Drosophila melanogaster: one gene and its partners. The protein of the gene in region 2 binds, or shares a complex with, the protein of the main gene of each other region. Each region holds a gene or a part of one and is shown on either strand. Other genes may lie near its edges. The genes, in order: MED8, MED21, MED4 and MED31.

The links.
Region 1: MED21 (region 2) and MED8 share a complex: the UniProt entries of both Drosophila melanogaster proteins name them as parts of the mediator complex.
Region 3: MED21 (region 2) and MED4 share a complex: the UniProt entries of both Drosophila melanogaster proteins name them as parts of the mediator complex.
Region 4: MED21 (region 2) and MED31 share a complex: the UniProt entries of both Drosophila melanogaster proteins name them as parts of the mediator complex.

What each region holds. Positions count from the first base shown.
Region 1 is NT_033778.4:20,325,068-20,328,716, forward strand, and holds MED8 (mediator complex subunit 8), read right to left. Parts: upstream 1,740-3,649; 5' UTR 1,656-1,739; coding exon 897-1,655; 3' UTR 777-896; downstream 1-776. Other genes in the region: tapas, read left to right, coding at 1-54, 112-263, 322-470, 529-746; CG8929 (uncharacterized protein), read left to right, coding at 2,992-3,067, 3,260-3,649. UniProt on the Drosophila melanogaster protein: Component of the Mediator complex, a coactivator involved in the regulated transcription of nearly all RNA polymerase II-dependent genes.
Region 2 is NT_037436.4:25,114,042-25,117,727, forward strand, and holds MED21 (mediator complex subunit 21), read right to left. Parts: upstream 1,906-3,686; 5' UTR 1,788-1,905; exon of another isoform or gene 1,684-1,787; 5' UTR 1,663-1,683; coding exon 1,621-1,662; intron 1,565-1,620; coding exon 1,178-1,564; 3' UTR 883-1,177; downstream 1-882. Other genes in the region: Set1 (SET domain containing 1), read left to right, coding at 1-626, 683-856. UniProt on the Drosophila melanogaster protein: Component of the Mediator complex, a coactivator involved in the regulated transcription of nearly all RNA polymerase II-dependent genes.
Region 3 is NT_037436.4:7,248,861-7,252,332, forward strand, and holds MED4 (mediator complex subunit 4), read right to left. Parts: upstream 1,668-3,472; 5' UTR 1,585-1,667; coding exon 1,348-1,584; intron 1,290-1,347; coding exon 750-1,289; 3' UTR 669-749; downstream 1-668. Other genes in the region: CG14830 (uncharacterized protein), read right to left, coding at 2,239-2,758, 2,820-3,248, 3,316-3,338. UniProt on the Drosophila melanogaster protein: Component of the Mediator complex, a coactivator involved in the regulated transcription of nearly all RNA polymerase II-dependent genes.
Region 4 is NT_033777.3:4,640,255-4,644,220, forward strand, and holds MED31 (mediator complex subunit 31), read left to right. Parts: upstream 1-1,708; 5' UTR 1,709-1,741; coding exon of another isoform or gene 1,742-1,754; exon of another isoform or gene 1,755-2,029; 5' UTR 2,030-2,146; coding exon 2,147-2,174; intron 2,175-2,314; coding exon 2,315-2,404; intron 2,405-2,496; coding exon 2,497-2,993; 3' UTR 2,994-3,038; downstream 3,039-3,966. Other genes in the region: nuclease slx1, read left to right, coding at 1,742-1,754, 3,290-3,966. UniProt on the Drosophila melanogaster protein: Component of the Mediator complex, a coactivator involved in the regulated transcription of nearly all RNA polymerase II-dependent genes.

The DNA of each region.
Region 1 (3,649 bases), on a different chromosome or scaffold from region 2:
GGTGCCTATTTCGAGGTGCGCGTTGCCCTCTCCGTCAATCCCGGTCACTTTGCGGTAAGTCAATCATCAGCAAATTAATGACTCCGATTATGATGTGCGATTCTTCCGCAGGTGCAACCGTACAAATACTATAACCAGCTGCAGACTTTGATGAAGAATTTACAAGAGCATTGCCAAAAGACGGCAGCCAAGGGAGTGCAGCCTTCACAACTGGCCATTGGAGAGGCCTACGCTGCCCCTGACTCCGAAGGCGTATATCATCGGTAAGAACTTATTCAGGTCTTGCAATAAAAACGCAGACTAAATCTGTTAATCTTGCAGCGTAAGTATTCACAAGATTTACGATGAGATTATACACGTGCGTTTCGTCGACGTGGGCGACGATGGAGTAATTGCCTGTGATCAACTGAAAACTCTAAATCCGGAGTTAAGAAAGCTGCCCAAGATGGCATTGCCAGCACAACTTTATGGCAAGTTCAAGAGAACTTCAGCAGTTTGGCGTTAGAACTAAAAACGATCTTCTTTCAGGCATACAACTGACTGATGTAGTATGGAGCAAGGAGAACTGCGTCCGATTCCGGGAACTGTCGCTGGGTCAGAAGTTTATTGGCATTGTGCGGCGAATGACTAAACAAAAGGATGGCGGACGAGCGCTGTGCCTGGAGCTGGTGGACACCTCCACGCCGAAAGATATTAAGCTGCACGAGATTCTCATCAATGAGAAGCACGCACAGCCAGCAACATAAGAAGTCTGAGTCGGAGGAGACGATCCATTTAAATTTGTTCATGTTTATGTTTGCGTAATCCTAGTTTTAGAATTAGGAATATACATATAACTTATTACGACGAAACATTCCGCCAGATGGAACCGATAATAGCTAATAAACTGATGTTTTTTATCGAGAGAACGGATGCACTTGATTTGCGGACTTGATGTTTGTTTTCACAGCCGATGGCGCCTTTCCCAGCTGCTGCTGCACGTTGCCGGGACTCATAGCGGGTCCACCCATTGGCGAGGGTGCTCGAATTGAAGGCGGTACCATCATGCCAGGTCCGGGTCCATAGTTGGTCAGCTTGAGTCCTTTTCCCATACCCACGGCGGCCACCAGGAGCTGTGTGTCGGCCATGCTACTCGTCTGCTGGATGCCGGTGCGCGAAGAGCTCTCGATTTCCCACTCCTCGCGCGCTTTGCTGACCATATCCAGGACGTGGGAGACGACCTTGTTGTATTGAGTGACCTGTTTCATGGCAGCGTCGTTGGTGAGGTTCGCCGCCTTCTGTTCGTTCTGCAGCATTTTCTGTTCCGTAATCGGATCCGGCCGAGTTCTCAAATAGTCTGGAACAATGTCGTGTGAAAAGACTGGCACCCGACCCTCTGTGATGTTGATGAGGGTGTCATCCCGGTCCATGGAGACCAGAAGGGGCAGGACCGTTCGATTTCTTAGCGGCGGACACTGCTCCTTTGCCAAGATTTTCGTCAATCCCGTCAAGTGACTTGAGATAATGGCAAAGTTGTCCAGGAAAGTCGGCCAGTTGATGGTCTCGTACTCTAGCTCAAGTTTTTGGATCATCGAGAGAACCGCCAGCTTCAGGTCGTTCAGACGCTGAAGGACCGTATCCAGCGTCAGCTCAAAAAGCTTTTCGTCGCGCTGCATTTTGGAAACTCCCAATTAAACTATTATTTTTAACTTCAGTCGGATGGACACAAAGTGGAAAGTGTGACCGTGGATCTGCTTATTATCATTTGTTAGTCGGGTGTAATAAAATACTGCAACACCGTACTATCGATAACGTTTGCGATAGCAGCAAACTGGCGTCCACACTACATTCAGATCCTAAAATTAAAATCATATGGTCAATTAAGGAAACTGAACAATAAAAAATGAATTAATGCTCACCAATAACTAATAATTGATCGTTATTATTTGTTTCTGTTTTAATTTAAATAGAACTAATAACTTTTATTTTTGCAATAATTAGCAGAATCGTTAATGCATACTTAAAATAATGTCAAAACAATATGATATGATTTAAATAGTCTAATATATAAAACATTCCCAAAACGAATAGTGTTTTCAACTACGAGCGCCTCTTGAAATAACACAATATTTATTATTAAAATATATAAACTGACTCGAGTTCATCAGACTCTGAACAGTCCTTAGACTATTGAAGCCAAGCCATCGATTGTGCCCCGGCATATCGATACTACCAACATGGCCGTCGAGAAAAATTGAAGTGAACGCAACGCCGTGTTTTTCATTTGCCAATAAAACGTTAACAGCTCACGAAATATCGTAAAGCGTGCCCGCAAACGTCGCCAAATGTAAGCAAATTATTTTAGTGCCTGTTTTACATCGTTTACATAATTGCCAGAGCTGAAATTCGAAATTTAGTTGCTGCCGTCGGGAGTATCGCCAACTTTTGCCTCACACTCTCTCTCTGTCTCGCTCTGCATTCCTCTCGTGCTGACAAGGCAAATATATTGGTGCTGGTGTGAGTGTATGTGTGAAAAATGGAAGAAATTCAAAATGCATATGTGAAAAGATATACGCGCAAGCCGATTAAAAATCGGCTCTCTCGCACGATTTTGATTGGGACCACAGGTCCCCGACCCCCGCGGCGTGATATGGGTTAAATGACAGCCGGAGCGCGTCCGCGATTCTCTCTGCGTTTTCAGGTCTCTCCGCTCTATTCCCATTCTGTATAACTCCGCTCCTGATATTGTTGTTGCTTTGTGTTAGCCATTTCTAATGCTCTCTTTACATGTTTCTATATTCAATTGTAATATATTTGCAGCTTGTTGTGTATGTTTTTGAAATGGTAAAGTGTGTTGTCGCGTTCGCCAAACCGAATCCGAAACAGTAAACCAAACCCTAACCGATTGGGGGTAATAAACATTGAAACCCGAGTACATACATACATATATCTGTCGCGCGATATATATACATATACATAGTTGCCAAAGCGATAGAAATCCGAAATCTCGCGATGGCGTCGCGCAGGCGCGCCGAACTGAATCCAAAACTGCACATGGACAGGCAGCCGACAGCTGCCCGCATAACAGGTACCTGAACTGAAACTTCTACCAACTACCAGCAAGCAACTGCATAGAAGTGGGAAAACCCAATTACCTCGCCGGGATTAGCGATGTCTAAGGGCCCATAAACCCATCAGCCCGTCTTAGGGGCTTCCCGGAACAAAGCACCGCCCACCACCCTGCCAATCGAAGCTTACCTTTTACCTCTCAACCTTGCAGATCCCTCATTACCCGCTGGAAAGCGACGCGAGATCGACAACGTGATGAAGAAGGCGCGCGCCAACACCACCAACGATTATTGGGACAAGAAGCTGATCGAGGCAGAGGAGAAGGATCCAAACCGATGGCGCCACACGGGCTACAAGAAGATGTACATCCAGGGGGAGAGCAGCTCTGGAGAGAGCGAACGCGACGGTCGCGAAGGTCGTGAGGGTGGAGCACCGCCCTACGGTCGTTATCCGCCCACAGGTGGACCGCCGCCAGGTCCACCGCCTCCGTCGCAGCGTTACGGACGCTCTCGTTCGCCGCACTCACGCAGTCGGTCGCGTTTGCGCAAATCGCCACCGCTTTCACCACCTCCGCGTCGTCGTTCACCGCCCATGGCTATGC
Region 2 (3,686 bases):
TAAATAATACTCACTGGGTGGATCACTGCACAACTGACCGAGCTTTTTGGCCACCGCCATCAAAAAAGCGAAGAAAAGACGACGAACTGATCCGACATAAGACTGGATGTGCGCGAACTGAAGGATTTTACAAATTAGATGTTCGAGAAAAGGCTAAGCATAAGTACCATTATGCTAAAGCCAATACAGAAGATTCCTTTAATGAAGATCGGAGCGATGAACCTACAGCACTTACAAATCATCATCACAATAAATTAATTTCTAAAATGCAAGGAATTTCCCGCGAAGCTCGCTCAAACCAGAGAAGACTTTTAACAGCCTTTGGTTCTATGGGTGAGTCTGAGCTTTTAAAATTTAATCAGCTAAAGTTTCGGAAGAAACAGCTTAAGTTTGCAAAATCTGCGATACATGATTGGGGATTATTTGCAATGGAGCCCATAGCTGCAGACGAAATGGTTATTGAATATGTTGGTCAGATGATTCGACCTGTAGTTGCTGATCTAAGAGAAACAAAGTATGAAGCAATTGGGATTGGGAGTTCCTATTTGTTTCGAATTGACATGGAAACTATAATTGACGCAACTAAATGTGGAAACTTAGCTCGGTTTATAAATCACAGTTGCAATGTAAGTAAGCTGGATGTTCTGACATTATGTTACCAACATAAAATTTTGTTTTTCAGCCGAATTGCTACGCTAAGGTTATAACTATTGAATCTGAAAAGAAGATAGTAATATATTCAAAGCAACCCATTGGTATCAACGAGGAAATAACTTACGACTATAAATTTCCACTAGAAGACGAAAAAATACCTTGTCTATGCGGCGCCCAAGGATGTCGGGGTACACTTAACTAATACTTATTTACAACAATGAATTAAATATTTTAGAGCACATAAATTTAATTTGTTCATAAAATCCAAAGTGGGGTACGTGTAAGTATATATAGTTTTTTTTATAACTTAAAACTATAATTAATTATTATAAAAATTATATCAACGAGGTCAGAGGTGCTGTTCAAAATGGTTTAGGTCTAAATTAAGCTAAAATACTTTACTTATAAAAACAATATGTATATACTAAAACCCATTTGATCTGTAAACACGAACGAAAATGCAATAAATACATTATCTTAAATTTAAAAATAATTTGCCTTTATACAAAAATGTGTTAAGCAGCTATTGTAAATCATGTTTGAGTGTTATTTGCATATCTAATTGAGCCTGAGCAATGCATTCCAAAGAATACTGCATTTTTTCTAGCAAAAGTTCGCCTTTTTGCACTACTTCCTCTAGGTCTCTTGCAGTTCCCTGGTTTTCGATCTCGAGCCTCTTAAGGCTAGAATTTTGGAGTTCAATGGAGCTGTCTTCATTTGGAAGAGACTCGATTAAGGTGTCGATGTCTTTAGCACATCGTGCAATTAACTGTGCAAATAATTGGGCATAGTCTTCTTGCGGCGGACATGGGATTGGCGTTTGGGGTCCAATGCGTTCAAAATTAACAAATTTACTTGGAAGGGACGTTTGTTGAATTACACCAATAGCATTGCAGAAGTGCTCCGCTTGCTGCAATGATTATTTTACATAAAAAACTGGTTATTTCTTAATACGAAGTCACTTACCTGATTAACGGTGTCTTGCAATTGTGTAAGCCGATCCGCCATTTTACTACAGAGTTAATAATTCTGAAAAACAAAAAATTATATGGAATTAAGTTTGATTAGCCAGTTCAAATTTTGATTAACATTTTTAATATCAACATAACATAATCAACATAATATCAACATACAATGACCGTTGGTGATTTTTATAATATATAAGCATTTATTTATCGATTGATTTTATGTCTTATTTACAGATACCTCACAGCAGCGACTATTCTCTTAAAAAAAGAAATGCTATTAATATGAGTTCCACACTAAAACGTGATTTCTTTCAATGAGACGAATTATTCTTGTTCACACTGTGCCATAATAATGTCTTCATTCCAACGATATAAACTACCATAAGATTGTCGGAAACAGTGGAATCTCCATAATATATGACCACACGTTGCACATCGATCCCTCTTGTCTTGTTCAAAATCATCACAATTTCGGTTATAACAAGGAAGCAGTTGGTCTCCAAGTAGTCTGCAACCTCTCTCACACAATCTTGGTATATCCTTGAGGAGGGTATATCGATTTCAGTTATAAGCTTGCAACGAAGTGAAAAAAGCATTTCAGTCCAATTAAGTGGGTATAAATATCAGTAAGAACAGCCGTACCCTTTTTCACGATAATTATTCTTTTAATTTTTAACATATCTAAATCGGTTCACCATATCTTAAAGATGTCATATGAAAAATTTTAAAGCTACCTCTCTTGTTTTTTAAAGGTTTTTAAAAGCAACAAAGATTTTATGATACGAACACTTTGTGCCTCCGATTAGTTTTCTTGTGAGGGGATTTGAATGGGTGGTCAGTTTTACTAGGTATTTTAATTTTCTTCTCAGTTATTATTTCGATAAATAATTTGATTTTTTTCTCTCTGTGTATGTCTTCGTTCCGAAGGTATCACGCTCTAGTCAGAATTCTCAGAATTGTTGGCTGTTCTCGCTGAATGGATGCCCCACAGGTCGGAGCCATAAGTCCAGATTGGTTTTAAGACGGAGTTGTATAGGAGAGCTTTGAACTCCACGCTAAGTGGAGAGCGAGCATGAGCCAGTGAAGGTTCCTTGCATCTTATTGCGACTTCAGTAGCTTATGTATGTTTTGGAACAATAGCTTGGCTAGTTTAAGCAAAAGTCCATCCAGAAACACTGTCAAATGCCTGCGCGACGTCTAGTAAAATGGCTGTGTAATATTCTCGATGCTCAAAAGCAGTACGAATTTCTGACGTGATTCGATTGGCCTGTTCGATGGTTCCATGTTTTTTCCATGACGAGGGCTTATTCCCAGGAGTAGCATTTTTTCAAATAAATTTTAGAGATAAGTTAGTTACTGTATCGGTCTATATGATGATGGCTGCGTTTTATCTTTTCCTGGCATTGGAATCATTACTATGGTAGATTTTTTCCATTTTTGAGGGAAGTATCCATGCTTGGCGATTGCGTTGAACAACAAGCACATGTGCAGAACATCACACTGGGAGTTCAATAAGGATTTTTTGAGTTATTAGGTCGAAGCCAAAATCGCTTCAGTTGCTTTTTGATAACCTTTGCTAATTCACATAATCTAAGTTTGCTTCTGCTAAAGGAGGGAGAATAATGACTTTATAGCAGGATTTGGTAGAAATAAAATTTGTAAGTGGTCAGCAACTGCTCTGGCTCTTTTCTCATCACTGTCTTTTCTCTACAAAAGGTTCTTAGTGCTGGTGGGCATACGTCACTTTGCACCCGAAACTAGAATATTTTCAACAGTGTCCGTTGACTTGTCTATATTTTCCTTAGCAGATAATGCCGGCGTTAGTTCTATGTGTGATCTGGGTCTGGGATTTTTCTTGGGTCTGCTGGTCAGTATGTATTGGATAGCGTGGTGGGCAGTAGACTGCGGCTAGAGTCATTGAACCATTGTTGAGTAGTTAGACTATGGACGTAGATTGAGGTGGTTTTTATGCGATTTCTGATTAGTATGCCAGTGCCTCCAAGAGCTTTACCATCTGAATGATTTGTGAGGTGCGTTTCTGATAGTAGCATTACTCCAGTGTTT
Region 3 (3,472 bases), about 18 Mb from region 2:
TTTTTTCCAACAATATCGAATGGGAAAAAGTAAAAGTTTGGCCTGTGTGCTGGCTGGCTGTGTGGTATGTGAGTGTCGTATGTAACCCGATTGCGGATGCGGCGATGCAAGTGGCGATGGCGGTGTCTCTCGCTCCCTGGCCTCCACTCCACTCCACCTTCCACTTCCACTTTTTCTTTATATTTGATATTGCAATTGGTTTGAGTCGAGCCTTCGCTTCGCTTCGCCCTCTGTACACACACACTGCGAACGGGGGGTCGGTTTTCTACTATCGTTTTCGGGGCTTATCTCTCGTTAAAGACGCACACGGGGCTGATCTGCGATTGGCGGCGACACTGGACTACACCTTGGCCACATTTTAGCTACTTGAAACACGCTGCATACGCGTTGCATTCCATTTTATTTGAAAAACCAAAGCTAAAATAATTGCGAGCTGTCAAAGTATCGATTGCACGCGACCCTGCCAATCGATTGTTTATATGGTTGAGGAGGACCGTATCGCACTAGCGCAAAAGTACCAAGCTCTTGACACGAAGCTATTATAAGCTGTTTCCACTGATACATAACTTTGCATTTTTTTAAATGCCAATTTAAATTGTAAATTAATATCATTAAAGAAGGTCATAAAATTAGATATGTATCCCAGCTACTCAAATATATACATAACTAGACTTCCTTACAGCGCGCTTTTATTAAATACCTAATACTACTAGCTTAAACGAGATTTAGTTATAGTTTTTTATCCAATTCTACTGCGAATCGCTGGAACTGGAGCTTGAGCTATCCGTGGACATGACCTCCACATCGTCCTGGGCGCGCGTCTCCAGGGCCACTGTGTTCCCAGAGGCGCCCATGGTCATGTGCAGCTCTCCGAGATTCCAGTTAAACTGGTTCTGGAAGGCATTGGGCACCTCGCCGCCGGCGCCACTGCCACTCCCACTTCCTGCGCTACCGGACAGCGTTCGCTGCTGCTCCGAGGGCATGCCGCTGTTCTGGTGGGTCACTGTTCCGCCGTTGATGTTCTGCTCGGATTTACCCAGCAGCCCGTTGCGCATCTCAATGTCCGTGGGATAGGGACGCCGCAGGTCACCTATGCACCAGGTGAGCGGAGCACTGACCGCATTGGCGGAGCTAATCCGATGTGCGTATTTGATGAGCTCCTCGGATGAAACCGGTCGTTTGTTGGCCTGATTGATGCTGGCCAGTTTCTGTCGCGCTTGGAAGATGGCCGTGGACAGTATGAGCTCCGCATCCTTTAGCGACTTTTGCAGCTTCTGGATCTCACGGTCCTAAGCGGGAAAATCCAGATTATACCTTATTTTTGGGGAATGCAAAACTTCTACTTACGTGCACCTCGACCTTAGCGCGCAGTTGGTCCATCGCCTCCTCCACTTTCGCCTGCTCCTCCGCCAGTTCCAGCATTTTGCGAAATTCCTCATCTTTGGCCACCAGCAAATCCAACAGGTCCACCAATTCGGTGCTGGAGATCTTCTGGTGCGCCTGCTCGATCAACTCCTTGGCAATCATCTCAATGTCGTCGATCAGGAGCAGAAGGCGCTCTTTTGTGCTCAAATGAAACGACATTATCACGGCAAATCGTTTGTGCTAAGCAATAATTGCAATTTGTTTATTTTCCACACCGCAATGTGGCCGTTCTTCGATTGCTGAAATATACCGTATAGTATTCCGGAGCGCTGTTAATACCACGTTGTAAAAATACCGTAACAGAGAGGTTGCCAGACTAATAGGAGTTGCCACATGGGTTATTTCATACACTCAAAAAAAAGGGAATCAAGTACTCAAAAGCAAAGAGTAGAAGAGACTGTTCAAAAATAAAACAAATTCGCAGCGTTATCTCTAGTAGGTATTATTTGCTTGTTTATTTCTCGTGTGTTACAATTGCAGTTACAATTTTAGCATAAAACTCTTCTGTTGATTAGCCAAATCAAACCTAACAAACCTTCTCAAATATGGCAGATTACAATACTCTGTTGCATCCTCGCGTTCGCGTCTCCCGTCAGTTTCACTCTTAAAACATACAAACCAGCAAGCAACTTGCAGCAGGTACGTTGGAGGGGCCTTGTTAATAACCGTTTAGAACTAGTAGATAGTCTTACAATTAGTTAAGATATAAGTGGTTTATATGTGGCTATTCATATTTCTTCTCCGCCCAAAGGATCCCCTTTCATCAAACCGCATATGTATGTACATACATACATATGTACATATGCATAACAATCAGTATCGCTGGCTCTCGCGATCCGAGTATTTGCCACTCAGCTTGCTAACCGAATAGCGATCCGAGTAGGCATCGTACTTGTCCGCCTTGTAGTTGATCTCCTGCGGCGTGTATCCGATATTCTTCTGCCAGTGCCGCGTCCAGTAGAGATCCTCGTTGCGCACCTGCGATGGCGTCTTCGCATCCCGGAACACGTACACACAGTAGATCATGCAGCCGATTAGCGTGAGGAAGCCGAAGACCAGGAACACAATTCCCAGTATCCACACGTACAGTGGCTCATAGAACTGCACCACAATGACGAATCCTAGCGTCACCAGGATCAGGCCCAAGTTGAGCAACAGCATCAGACAGCACACGCCCTTGACATTGGGGCAAAATGGATTCGGCGCGGACATGGTTTCCACTTTGGCGCCTCGCCGAGTCGTCGAGCGCGCACTGCGTCCGGTTTTGGCCGTACTGGCCACGGAGTAAACACTCCGTGGAGCTCCTCGCGACACTGGACGCTGACTGTAGCGACTGTAATGGATGATAGATAGTTTAGATATGGGTTATATGCTATATAGTTGTAACAACGCACCTGATCTCGGAGGGCGCCTTGTAGGCGGCACTGGTCACATAGATGTCGCTGCCGGCGTCACCAGCCTGGTCATAGCTCAGGGCGGACGGAGCACGCGGTGGCTGGCGCGTGGGCGGCGGTCCGCTGAGGGAGCGAGGTCCTCCGTTGTCCGGCGAACTGGAGAGGCCCATCTGACTGTGGCTGTAGCTGCTCTGCAGGTGCTGATGCTGATGGTTTCCATTCGAGGATGAGGAGCGCTTCTTGCGCGAACCATTGTACTGCGGCGAGATGCGCTCGTGGGTCAACGTGTACTCCGAATAGGTGCGCTCCGAGGGCGCCCGGTGGGAGTGGGTCTCATCGCCGTCGGTGGAATAGCCGCGGTTCGAGTGGACGTAGGGCGGATCCGGAGTGAGGCGACCGTGCGTGGCCACATAATGGCTGCCCTTCAACCTGTAATTGGATCGCAAATGTTATCGCCGCTGTATTAGCCGTTAAGTGGCCCATCCGCGCTACTCACTTCTTCACTTGTCTCTCGTGCATCCTGTATCTTTTGCTCCGCCTGTATCTGTATCTTTTGCTGGCTCTTCTCTGCGGCTGATTGACTGCTAATGGACCCGTCTAGCAATTCCTCGAGGTGCCTGCAATGGGTAAGTAAAGCAAAACAAACACACGAT
Region 4 (3,966 bases), on a different chromosome or scaffold from region 2:
CTTATAATGTATGTTTTCACTGTTCTCCGCTTGACTCTTGGACGATCGAGTGGGTGTTTCTGCGCCGAAAACCGGTTTGCAACTGTAATGGAAAGCAAAAATGTAATGAGTTTTGTAGGCAGTCAGGTACGCCAGGACGACCCCCGGACAGGTAGTGCCAGCTGACACCCATAAACGCTAAGCTCAGACAGTTCTTTAAAATATACCAATAAATCTGCAGCTGTTCCTATGTGGAAAAGCCAACCGTTGGCTTTACCCCTTATGCACCCCCGTAAATAAAGCCGTGGTCATAGTTACAACACTAAACATTTTAATATTACCTATGAATTTTCCCACTTAAGAACATTGATTCATTTCACATGTATATAGGAAGATGTTTAGGAGTAAAGATCACTTTAGTCAAGAGTCGCGACTATGAGATACCCAGCACTCAGCGAAGACATTTATTTGATACGTTTCTAATAATCCTATTTTAACTATTATGACAATTGTATGGAACTACAGTGTTATATGCCAATTTGGGCGTTGTAGATCGTGGTCAGATCGACCAGGCCATTGGTCCGGATCGAAGAAACATTTACATTATAGGGTCGGAATCACTTTTTATACCAGTTACACACTGTACACTTTTCACTCTATAATACTGTTTTAGGTAATGGTCTATTTATCTCGAATTTAGATGTACGAATTAGTGTGGCAAACCAATCGATCAATTAAAATTGCGACTGTGGCTTGCCTAAGCGGACACAAAAGAGACTTACATTCGTAATTACATTGAAATGATTCAGAAGCCTATCAAGAAACAATCTTTGGTTCTATTTGGACGGCAGCTGTGCTGTGCTGTATAGATACATATGCACATATGTACATATGTGTACATCTGTATGCATCTGTATATGTATATACATTTCGGAGTTGTATTCAAGCAGAGCACACTGTAATCTAATAATAGATTCTTCGCCAACATGAATTTTTTGTGGATGATGATTAACCCGTCGAAATCGGGGAAATAGTTGGATATACATATATAATGTTTCATATGCACTTAAATTACATAATTTTGTTAATACTTACATTTCTGAATTGTGCGTCGCTGCTTCGCTTGTTCCTCAGCACAAAAATAGGTGCGGGGGCGTTCTGTCCACAGATAGAAATTAGTTTCACTCGTTGATTTCTCGTTTATTTAGCCTAAACTACGACTTTTTCAGTGGCTTGGTTCCGATTAGATATGTTTTACAGACGAAATTCAAGTTTTTCCTCGCTGCTTTTCAGGCTGACAAAAAAATCAGGCATTGTTCTCCACAGCGTTCGTCGTAGGCTTGTGAAAATACCGAATTAAATGCGCATCACATTAGGGGTAGTGAAATAAATACTGAAGGCTACACACAATTGTTAATTACATATTATAATTAAAAATTGTCAATGTTCTGGTCGGAATTTTATATTTTAATATAAATTTTAATTGTTTTATTATGATTATTTGTAGATACCATTGATCGCTGTACTTCTTGATACATACGCTCAGATTTGTTTAAACTTACTCTGGTATTAAAGATTTTTGTTGGTTAAAACAACCCTAATTCTAATTTTTAACACAGAAACATTTTCAAGAATACCGTTAGCACACACCAAGTAAAATATACGGAAAAGCAGTATTTTACGAAAAAAAAATCGTATTCGGATGAGCTTGCAGCCCTGGCGGGGACAGAAGTAGGGTTGTCGCCGGCCATCAACAATCCAAATGAACTCCTACGGTTTGTAGACAATATTAAAAACTGAATTTAACTGCCTTCCCACAAGAAATCACCAACACAAAGGGAGCGACAACCCACCGCCTGCGCCCAGAAACCTGGTCGACTGTTTTCCCGAGTTTTCTTTTGGCCCACAACCTGCGTTTGCTCTGTGCAGTCACTGCCGCGCCATACATTTTATTTCATTAGCGAAGCCCATATATATTTATAATTTTACTTGTGTGTTTTGTTTGCCGCGACGTTTCGTTTTCAATTCGATGGTGCACCAAAACACACAGCTCAGAACATCCACATAGCACACTGAAAGAAACCAAGAACCCAACCCGACACCGAAACTGAATAGACGCAAGTACCGACCCAACGAGACCCTTTCCAAAGCCAAAGACCAGTCCAAAATGGCCAAAATGTACGGAAAGGGTAAGAGTAAGTACACGCCAATCCACACCCATTTTCGCATTGTAATCTAACACCTACTGACACCGCTTGGCATGCCGAATCCTCAGAGATCTACCAAAAGTGGTGCTAATTTCTCAGGGACTAATGCTCTCCAATTTCTTCCGTAGCTGCTATCGAGTCGGAGGAGCTGCAGAAGCGACGCTGGCAGATCGAGCTGGAGTTCGTGCAGTGCCTGTCGAACCCCAACTATCTAAACTGTAAGAATAATATTACCTCGACCTACCTAATATTCACTTATTCACCATCTTGCGCGTATATCTAAATAAACAATTACAACGCCTTGTGCCAGTCCTTGCACAGCGTGGATTTTTCAAGGACCAGTCGTTCATCAACTACCTGAAGTATCTGCAGTACTGGAAGGAGCCGGACTATGCGAAATACCTCATGTACCCAATGTGCCTCTACTTCCTCGATCTGCTGCAGTACGAACACTTCCGCCGGGAGATCGTCAACTCGCAGTGCTGCAAGTTCATAGACGACCAGGCCATTCTGCAGTGGCAGCACTACACTCGCAAGCGCATCAAACTGATCGAAAACGTTACGGCCGCCCAGCAGCAACAACAGCAGCTTCAGCAGCAACAACAGCAGGCGAACGGCATGGAGGCAGCAACGGGAGGCGAATCAGCAGCACCTACCCCCAACGTGAACGGGTCAGCTTCCACGGCGGATAGTCAACAGACGTCTTCTGCCCTACAGCCTGTCCAAGCACAGCCTGGAAATCCCCAGCAGCAGCAGCAAATCAATGGCGTGGCATCGGGGGCCAACATAAAACTAGAGTTAAACTAGCGCTGGCAACTAAAAGTTTACCAATAAAATAGTATAAGAACCTGGAACAAGTTATTTTGCATTCCATTTATTATCTTCCTTTTTGGCTGAGAAACAGCTACCACTTAACACACCTTATTTTCTTAGCTATTTTAGCCAAACTAAAATTCTAAAATAATTTTATTTCTTTTTTTATTTTAGAAAATCTTGAAAACCTCATCTCATTGCTTTAGTTAGGGTGTCGCCTCCTTTGTCGTTGGTTTTTGGTTGCAGACACAAAGCAAGTTTCATTAATCTATCTGTTGGTGAATTCACAGACCCACAGGACACAGCTTCTCAACAGGAGGAATCCGTCGCGCTGAAGGGCCACTTCTACGGCGTCTATTTGCTATGCAGTCAGAGCTTGGATCCTCGCTACCGGGGAAAATGCTACGTGGGCTTCACCGTGAACCCCAAACGGCGGATACGCCAACACAATCTTGGTTGTGATTTCGGTGGCGCGAGGAAAACCAGTCGCAAAGGGCCGTGGCTGATGGTAATGATCGTGCACGGATTCCCGAATAATACAGTGGCACTCCAGTTTGAATGGGCTTGGCAACAGCCGTCGCTTTCAACTAGGCTTAAAATGTACCCTGAATTAAAACGAAAACTGCCCAGGGAGACGTTCTTTGACTACAACTTTAGGATCCTTAGTAATATGCTGGGGGTTGGCCCTTGGAATAGATTACCGCTCACCGTTCGCTGGCTAGAAACGGATTACGAGAGGCCATTCAGCAAGGCACTGCCTAAACACATGGAAATTGTGAGTGGCAAGGTTTCCATTAGTGCCTCACAACGTAGGAGACCTGATGATGCAGTACCTCCTCCACCTGTGGCGTGGGCTTCCGAGTGCCACCTTTGTATGCAGGAAATGGAGCAACCGGAGAAATCCCGCCTGGGATGCACAAATCAAATGTGTCGGCTGACATGCCATATGGTGTGCCTGGCCAATTAC